2 linked regions of the Neodiprion lecontei genome follow. The protein of the gene in region 1 interacts with the protein of each later gene in a pairwise test. Links are inferred from orthologs where the notes say so. Each region holds a gene or a part of one and is shown on either strand. Other genes may lie near its edges. The genes, in order: protein LTV1 homolog and 40S ribosomal protein S3-A.

Region 1 (5,484 bases):
CTGCAAATGTCAAATGATAATCAAGACTATAACCCAGACTCGCTGAACTCGGATTCGCAGAGCGAAAGCGAGACGGATTCTTTTAATAATCTAGCTTTTTATAGATGTAAACACTGCACCAAGTGTTATTCTACAAAAAAATCTCTACAGAGACACATGTTGATACACGACGAGAAGAAATTTGTTTGCAATGTTTGCAACATGAAATTCTTTAGGCCAGACAGATTGAAAAGCCACAGAAACAGGTATGGGCATGATGAAGACAAAGAATGCTTGGAGCCTCAAAAACCGCCGGATGACAAATCTGCAATAAAATTAATAAACAGTTGGATAAGAGAGGAACTGGATTCCGACAACGAAGGAAAGGGGTTCCCGTGTGAAATTTGTGGTAAATCTTACGTGACCAAGAAATCATTGCAGAAGCACAAGGCAAACATGCATGAGAACAGAGAAGACTTTTGTGACAATTGCAAAGCGGATAAATGTAAGTGCGCTGAAAGGGTGAAAAATATTGACAAGAAGAATGAAAAGTTGAAACCATTCAGCTGCGATGAGTGTAACAAGTCCTTTGAAAAGGAATCAAAGCTAGAAAAACACTTGAGAAGTCATGAGCGTGCCAAGGAACAGCAGGACTCAAATTTCAAACGATTTTTGTGTCACATTTGCAGCAAAACTTTTCGTCAAAATACAGGACTCATGTTCCACATGCGGACGCACACTGGCTATAAGCCGCATGTGTGCAAATATTGCGGACGTGGTTTTACATCCAATTCAAATTGCATTAATCATGAAAGAACTCACACTGGAGACCGACCTTTTGTGTGCCATTTTTGCAGTGCAGCCTTTGCAAAATCTTGCACTCTGAAAGCGCACATTACAACTCACACGGGAGAAGCTAATTACCACTGTAAAACTTGTGGAAAATCGTTTCGACGACTTAAGTACTTGAAGGAACATAGATTTACGCATACTGGGGAGAAACCGTACGCCTGTAAAATCTGTGGCACTGCTTATAGTCACTCCGGTAGCTTGTTTGTCCATGAAAAAAAATGCAAGGCTCAATACAGCAACTATCAAGCCGTTTCTGAGCAAAATGCGCAAAATTATACCCAGTCGCCAACTGGGCTCAACACCTCGTCGGTCATGGCTCCTATTATTCCTATGCTCTCTTCATCGCACCATTTAAATAACGCTAATAATTCTCTGGGGGGTCATGCTAACAAAAATTATGTCGAAAGTATGCAGAGAATGAATGCACACGCAGCTGCTGTCACAGCAGTTGGAAATCCAGCTTTGCATATGCATCCGAACCCGGAAGTTTCAGAGATGGCTTCAGCTGTGAGAAACTTCGCCATTATAGGACAAATATTTCACTCGTAATGAACTGATATATTCCATAAAATCCCTAAAAATTCTCTGTGATAAGAAATTGTCTCTACTAGGATATTATTGTATAAATTTTTATATACTGATGAATCTTGCAACACATGTAATGATAACGAATATTTACTTATAATGACGGAAAGAAAAATCAAATTAAATGCCAAGAGGTCAGTGATGCAACGGCATCTAAAAAATAAATTTTTATTCTCTTTATCGTTTGTACCTTTACATATAGTAACTGAAATAGTAGCATGTAATGTAATGTATCTACCGATTATACAACAGATATACATATATAGTATGTAAAAAGTTATATTTTAACATTTATAAGAAGCATAATAATAATAATGTCGTTTAATATTTATCTCAACAAATATTTTAAAAATTATTTATATTTTATTCTGTTTTTCCTGTTATTTTTTGTTCAATAATTGCATGCATAATGGAAGTGCATGCATATTTGAATATTCAAATTATACATTGGGTAAACCGTTCAACAAACTTTATCGCAAAAAGCACTTTGTATACGAAGCTCACGAAAATACAGCATAGATAAATATTAGATATGGTTTCAAAAGAACACAATTCACACCCAACTTGTTATGTGCAGGTATGTATGTATGCACGTATGTATGTGTGTACATTGTTTTAAAATCTTCATTCCACTAATAACTGTAAAATCTCGATTAAGAGTTTTATCTGGTATAAAATACAAGAAAAAATAGTTCATTTTGACATTGGAATCTCGATTCAAATGATTCGAAAAGTTAATTTTTAAATAACATTCCAAAACGTTGAAGTAACGTACCATTAAATCGCAAGCGTAAATTCAATGGCCAATCAGAAGGTCCTGATTCCCTGTCGCGTCAAAATGGTCATTCGTTGCAAGACAGTGTCACGGCATTTCAGTGGTCATTGCTACGGAGTTAACACATGTTCACTGTTTGGAGTTAGCATTTGGTTAAAGTTCAACAAGATTGGGGAAGACTTTTGTGATTTTTATAATAGCTGAGTGAATTAAATAAACCCTTGTAAGACTGTCAGTGTTGTCCGCCTAATCATGGTACGTATTTCCTTAATCCTACGCGATTGAAAAAGACGCATTTTTAGGTTAAGTTTAAGGCGTCTTGTAGGACTTTCTTAAAATCTGTAAGCTCAACGTATTTCTTTAATCCTACACGGTTGAAAAAGATGCATTTTTAGGTTGAGTTAAAGGTGACTGGTAGGATTTTCGTAAAATCTATAAGTTCAACGCATCTCCTTAATCCTACACGGTTGAAAAAGATGCATTTTTAGGTTAAGTTAAAAGCGTCTGCTAGGACTTTCGTAAAATCTGTAAACTCAACGTAAATTCTTGCAAACTGAATTTTTTTTATTTGTGAAAGTGATCGAAGTCTGCTTTGAATTTTGTCTCTGTTTAATATCGAATTACCTATGTAATGAAAGAATAATACTCAAAAAACAAGACTTTGTACATTGTTTACAGCCTAAGGGAAAAGGGAGGAAATTTATTGACAAAAAGAACGCGGTGACATTTCACCTGGTTCATCGTTCTCAACAAGATCCGTTAGCTGCTGACGAGACCGCTCCTCAGCGAGTATTAGTACCTCTCGGAAAGACGCAGGCTACCAAGTCTGAGAAGAAGGAAACAGATATCGCGAAGCGTAAAGAGGAACAGCAAAAGTACGGAATATTTTTTGATGATGATTATGACTACTTGCAACATATGCGAGATTCAAACCAAATCTCTGTTGAATGGGAACCGGTTGAAGACCCTCAGAAAAGCAGGAGAGAGAAAAATGCAGACCGCACTGAGCCCAAAATTAACCTACCATCTTCCGTGTTTGCATCTGATGTTGAAGAAGATGTTGGTCTTCTTAATAAAGCAGCACCGGTCTCCGGATTGAGATTAGATGTGGATCCTGAAATTGTGGCTGCAATGGATGAAGATTTTGATTTTGAAGATCCTGATAATCAGTTGGAAGATAATTTCTTTGAATTAGCTAATGCGGAAGGCAGCGACATTGAGTTTGACGAACACGATGAAGATGGTGAGCAGCATGAAATTGTTGACATAGTTCTACGTGAAATGATTTTTCATATATTCACACAGTCATAAAATTTTATTTGCATCTCATGGTCTCATACACAACGAATTATCTTTAGGCTATGAATCCGATGAAAGCGACGAACAGTATTCAGATGTTTCTTCTGAAGGACATATGCAGCTATCAGATGAGGAGAAAGATCAGGTTCCGAGTTTAAATGGACGGGAATTCGCGTTTGAAGATGTTGAAACAAAATCACAGTTTACCGACTACTCAATGAGCAGCAGCGTCATGCGACGGAATGATCAATTAACGTTACTTGATAATAGATTTGAAAAGGTGAGTTGGTTAAGAATCTTATTGGCACAACAGCAGAGTACATAAATATTCCAGTTTAACATTTTTCCATTTACAGATGTACACTGGATACGATGATCTTGAAATTGGAGCACTTGATTGCGAGGAAATCGAAGGACATGTTGCTCCTGATTCTGATATTCTTTTGCAGTATGCAGATGAATTTGAAAAGAAGAAAAAAGAAAATGTGAGGGTTCAAGAAAATATTCCTTGATTATTTTTCTTTTTTTTTTCTTTAATTTGCTTGACTTTTGATTACTGAATTCTTCCACAGACTGAGAATGTTGCAAAGTTGATGGCAGAGCGACTGAGAGTCATTAACTTGGAAGAATCAAATTCTGAGGATGAAAATGATTTGGAAAAGCTTGTAGTTGATGCTAGAGAAAAGGAGAAATGGGACTGTGAAAGTATTCTATCTACCTACAGCAACATTTATAATCACCCCAAACTTATATCAGAGCCTAAGGTGAATTTAGACACAAGATTTTTATCAATTTCTGTTTGATATCCATATGAAAATTCAAATTGTTAGATTGGTCCCGTGTTCAAAGTGTGTTATTCGTTTTTATTGTTTCGGAGATTTAATTCACTAGTACAAGGGTAGAAGGCTGGGGTTTGGATAATTATGTAAAATACTCAGTCGATGTATTTCAGGGTCCTGGGAAAATAAAAATTAATCCACGTACTGGGATTCCACAAGATGTCCTGAATTCGTCTAATGGAACGTTGACAGCGAAAACGTTGGCTAAATTTAACTTGGAGAATGACAGCCAAGCAAACGCAGGTCCACGATCGGTAGCAGAAACCATGAAATCCACTTTGAGTGTCCTGAGTATAAGGCCAAAAGACGAATCCCCCGAGGACAGGAAAGAACGAAAAAAAGCTCTCAAAGAGTACCGAAAGGTATATCGCATAGTGATTAGAACTGTATGAAGTTCGCGTATAAAATATCATGGCACTGGAATTCACTGAATCGATTCAACTTTATATTTACACAAATCTTATTTGTTTCATCAGGAAAGAAGATTGGAGCGCAAGGCTAACATAGAAGCGTTCAAAGAAGAAAAGAAGAGACAAGAAAAAATTATGCTCAACAACAGAAACAACGTCCAAGGCAATAGAGTACTGTGAATTTATAAAGTCATATTGTGAAAATTTGAATAATATTTAATATAATGATACATTTATTTCTACATAGGAATTATCGACTATTGTCTTCTTTCCCCACCATTGTAGAGTTAGATCAGTTAAACATTGTCAATTCATTGTGTTTGTGTATATTAGGTTGGTTCTTATTTACGGTATTAACGGAGTTTCACATTTTCCAAGTTTTCCAATACGGGGTTGAAGTTATAGTAACGTTATCGTAACGAAACATTGGGTGAAAAATTACTATTTTCCTAATTTTACAATAACTTTGAAGCTGCTAAGATTTCGAAATCTGAGTGTGTTTTGTTTTATTACGGTTTCCTAAATTTCAGGCAAATCCAAAATTGCGAAATAACGGTTTATTCTCAGCATGAATAATTACGATTAGTACGATAACGCAACCAACTTCAATGCGAATTTCCAATTCAAAGTTTCGAACGATAATATGCTCAAGAAGGCAGTGGCCACGTGATGTCCACGAGGTCGACGGTGGCGCCCCCGTAATCGAGTGCACGGCGAAGAGGCGCAACATGCGCAACTTCCTAGT
Region 2 (4,169 bases), on another chromosome or scaffold:
GGACCATATCTATGTGTACACCTTAGAAGACGCGATTTTTTAATAGGTCGCGCAGGTTCTGTACCGACAATAAAGAATGCGGCATCTCAGTTGAGTATAAAAATGGAAGAACTAAATTTGCAGTCGATTTTTATAGCAACAGATGCAGAGAATAACGGTACGAATATCTCAAAATCGCTTCAACCATTTGTGAGAATATCATACGTTACACGTTGTTTTTCTTTCTCTAGAATACAATGAGCTTAAATCACTGCTAAACATGTATGCAGTAACAAGATACACACCATCAGATAGTGTTAAAAAATTGTATAAAGATGGGGGTGTTGCTATTATAGATCAAATAATTTGTTCAAAAGCGAGGTAAGTTTCTATTATTTTTTACTGACCACAGAACTAATCAATGTTATTAATTATGTCTAGGTACTTCATAGGAACGCACGAATCGACGTTCACGTTCCGAATCCAAGAAGATAGGGAAATAATGGGTTTCCCATCAAAGATGACATTCAATGAATTGTGCGGAATTGAGAAATGCAAATCTAGAAGTTCATGGAAAATCTTATGGTGATGAGTCAAGATGGCGAAAATCAAAAATTCGAATTAAACACAATGCGCAACAATGTATCCAAGAAAAGATGCAGTAAAAAAAATATTCGGAAATAAAAATTCTCCTACCCATTCTGATAGTTTGTACCTTTTTCTACCAGTTGATAAAATTCAAGAGTAATAATTTATGCGTCGTTTACTCTCCAGTCCACTTTTACAGTTAGCAAAGATATTTCCAGGGAAGGATAATTGCGATTAACTGTGAGAGCAATTGATCTTTCAAAAAGTTTTAATTTTAAGATCTGCGGAATTATACAGGAATCGGTGCAACAGGGGGAGCATCCGGTTTGGCCACCTTAACATCGGAGGATGGATAAGTGGGAAGAGTTTCTTCCTTTGGCTCTACGACTGACACGTTGTCCGGCAGAGGTTTCTTGGGTCCAGTCTTACCGTTGGGGTCCCAAGGAAGCATAATTTTCACTTTAATTCCCAAAACACCTGTAACATAATAACACTTACAATTATCACGCAATATGTTCATACGCAGAAAAGTAGTCAAATATAATATTTTAAAACATTCGATAATCACGTCATTATTGTAAACTATTACTTCTGATATTCCTCAAACAGGAATGGCAAAATTGCACGTTTACCTTGTCTGAGGAGTACGTGTCGGGTTGCTGTGTCAACGTAGTCATTTGTTGGCTCTCCGGAGTGGATCATAAGTCCGTCGACGAATTTCATGGACTTTGCACGCTGTCCACGAAGTTTTCCGCTCACGACAACTTCACATCCTTTAGCACCAGACTCCATGATGAAACGAAGTACTCCATAACACGCACTTTATTGAAAAATAAATACTTGAAAGTATTGAATCTCCAATACACTACGTATAAATACTAGGATTAATATTATTTAAAATCTTTACCGTCTGACAGCCAGTCCTCCGATAAGTTTGTAACGTAGAGATTCGGCCTGGGCAATGGCGCAAAGACCACGAGTTGCTACCTTCTCAGCGTATAGTTCCACGCTGTGTTCCTTGAAATTGAACCTCTTCTGAACTACCGAAGTCAGCTCTCTTATCCGGCGTCCTTTCTCTCCTAGGACATTCTGGGTACGTGTAGCCATGATGATGATTTCAGTGCGCGTTGGGGTGACACGCACTTCAACACCCGAGTAACCATCCTCTGCAAGTTCACGAGTCAGAAACTCGTTGAGCTCAGCTTTGAAGACTCCGTCTCCAACAAACTGCAATGAAAAGTAAAATTAGTTCTGAACATAAGGCAGAGAAGAATTCACCTCATTTTCATGTGGAAATAACGAATCGAAAAATCGACAACTGGGGTATTTTGAAGGGCCAGGCTGTGTTTACGATTCAAACCTAACCTTAACCTAACCTACAAAAATCTGCGTGGCTATGGAATAATTAACCAGTAAAAATCGGAGTGCGATACGCCGTTGTCAAAAGAATGAGTGTCACAGAAATGCATCACAACTGTTTTGTTACTTTTGATGCACAAGTGACAGGAGCGGGATAACCGCTTTGGGGAGGAACAAGCGACAGCTAAAAGTATCCGAGCGATCCGATATTCAAACTTTGGCGATTCACAGGTTTAGCAGGAAAATATCGTGAGGAAATGTTTGCGTTTTACCGTGATTGCGATATTTGTTTGATAAACGCGGTAAAAGCTGTTAAAACTAACTAACCTTCCTCTTCTTCGAAATCGAACGGGCTGCCATAATCAGCGCTGTTACAAGAAAGGAGACGGAAAACTGAAGGGTCTTCCGACTGGAAACGGAAATGGGACTCGACCGCATAACTCGCATTCAAATCAGCGTCTTTTTTTAACCTATTCATACTGAAATGTGATGAGATGATTCGTGGCAGTAGAAAAATCATAAGCATGTAAAGATAATACAAATTATTCAAGTTATTGACGTACAAGTTTGGTTAAAAAATATTCTCATTAAATCATACAGTTGTTTTTCTGATCATTTGCGTACACGATTGCCACTATCAGGCGTGAATTCATTTCTACGCCTGACGACAGTCAGACAGATTTGCACGTGTAATTGCACTTTTGTCAGTCAGCAGGAGCGAAGGGACTGAAATGGATGAGCTGTGAAAGCTTCGTATGTGACTACATACCTATGCGTTTACAAATCATACAATGTATGCCGAGTGTGCGGGGTGCGTGTGCATCGTTGTAGCGCAACGATAAGGCATTCCGCATAAGAATAACAGAGAAGCTAGGTCAGGCCACAGTTGCGGTGGGGATTAATTCAGTAAAAGAATAGTCATTATAAGCAGGAGGCACCTCAGTAATTAGATAAAAATACATTTTCTCGCGAGGTATATTTAATTGCCGCTTGCACGTATACTCTGAATTGTTCATATAGGTTAGAATCAGGGTAGTGTACTTTGTTGATATACTACGGCTGTGTAAATTTGTTATGTAAAATTTGTCCTGCCAATTGTCATGGAGTGGAAAACGGTGATAACCACAATCGCGGTAGTGAGCCTGTGCTTCTTGGCAATACCGATCAAGATCGAGCCCGACAACACCGAAAGCGACCTAAAATTGTTCAAGACTTATGTTGAAAAATTTAAGAAATCTTATACACGATCACCTGCAGAGTACGAGGAAAGGTTTCGCAAGTTTCAGGTAGGTGGCGTTAACTGTCTACAATCCGATTACCTCCGGATTGATTTGATTCAAATCAGCGCCTTGTTAGATTTCGCGCCATATTCTGAAGCCAATTATCACACACGCTGTAACACATGCATACAGATTTGTGGGGCTTTCCACGGCCGCTTTATCTAAGTTAGTGACATTATCGGTACTTGACATTTTTGTTCACAAATATTTATATATAACGTATAACCTTTGCGATAAAGTTCATACGCATCGTATTTATGCTGCTACGGTCACAAGGCTGAGGCTTCTATGCGTCATAGTCTGAATGATATCACGAAAAATTATAATTAACGGACATTGTTACATTAGCGATTGCAATTGTTCTGTTTGAATAAAATTAGAGATCCCTTCGACATATCGAGGAGATGAACGCCAAGCGAACATCGAAAGAAAGTGCGAGATACGGGGTTACAGAATTTTCCGACTTGTCTGAGGACGAGTTTGCGAGCTCTTATTTACGCCCTGATTTGTCCTCGCGTGGAATGCGGCATCTCCATCACTCGCATCATCACTCGCACCGACACAATCGGTATGATACTAAAGATGGTCGAGCCGACAGCAGTGAGAAGAACAGATTGCGGAGATCTACTACCGGGTTACCGGTAAAATTCGACTGGAGAGAAACGGGATTCGTAACTCCAGTTCGAAACCAAATGAACTGCGGTGCTTGCTGGGCATTCAGCACTGTCGAAGTCGCCGAAACGATGTTTGCGATTAATAATGGCACGTTGCACACGCTTAGTGTTCAAGAGGTATAAAATGCAACAAGTTGGACTGAAATATAGCAACACAATGTACACGAGAAACTGATTACATTGATGCGTGGTTTTTATTATCAGATGATTGATTGCGCTGGAAACAGTAACTTCGGTTGTAACGGCGGTGATATTTGCAGTCTGTTGATGTGGTTGACGGTAACGCAGG

Evidence for each region.
Region 2: the proteins of protein LTV1 homolog (region 1) and 40S ribosomal protein S3-A interact in a two-hybrid assay, tested with the Caenorhabditis elegans proteins (2 studies listed by BioGRID). The link is inferred for Neodiprion lecontei from reciprocal best matches to the Caenorhabditis elegans genes T23D8.3 and rps-3.

The regions. Positions count from the first base shown.
Region 1 is NC_060262.1:40,655,289-40,660,772, reverse strand, and holds protein LTV1 homolog, read left to right. Parts: upstream 1-2,270; 5' UTR 2,271-2,443; coding exon 2,444-2,446; intron 2,447-2,869; coding exon 2,870-3,434; intron 3,435-3,549; coding exon 3,550-3,770; intron 3,771-3,846; coding exon 3,847-3,975; intron 3,976-4,062; coding exon 4,063-4,254; intron 4,255-4,442; coding exon 4,443-4,691; intron 4,692-4,805; coding exon 4,806-4,919; 3' UTR 4,920-4,984; downstream 4,985-5,484. Other genes in the region: zinc finger protein 420-like, read left to right, coding at 1-1,380.
Region 2 is NC_060263.1:16,543,236-16,547,404, reverse strand, and holds 40S ribosomal protein S3-A, read right to left. Parts: upstream 2,355-4,169; 5' UTR 2,287-2,354; coding exon 2,254-2,286; intron 1,795-2,253; coding exon 1,475-1,794; intron 1,388-1,474; coding exon 1,200-1,387; intron 1,045-1,199; coding exon 857-1,044; 3' UTR 818-856; downstream 1-817. Other genes in the region: GDP-fucose protein O-fucosyltransferase 2, read left to right, coding at 1-157, 231-360, 421-568; cathepsin O-like, read left to right, coding at 3,027-3,212, 3,587-3,997, 4,085-4,169.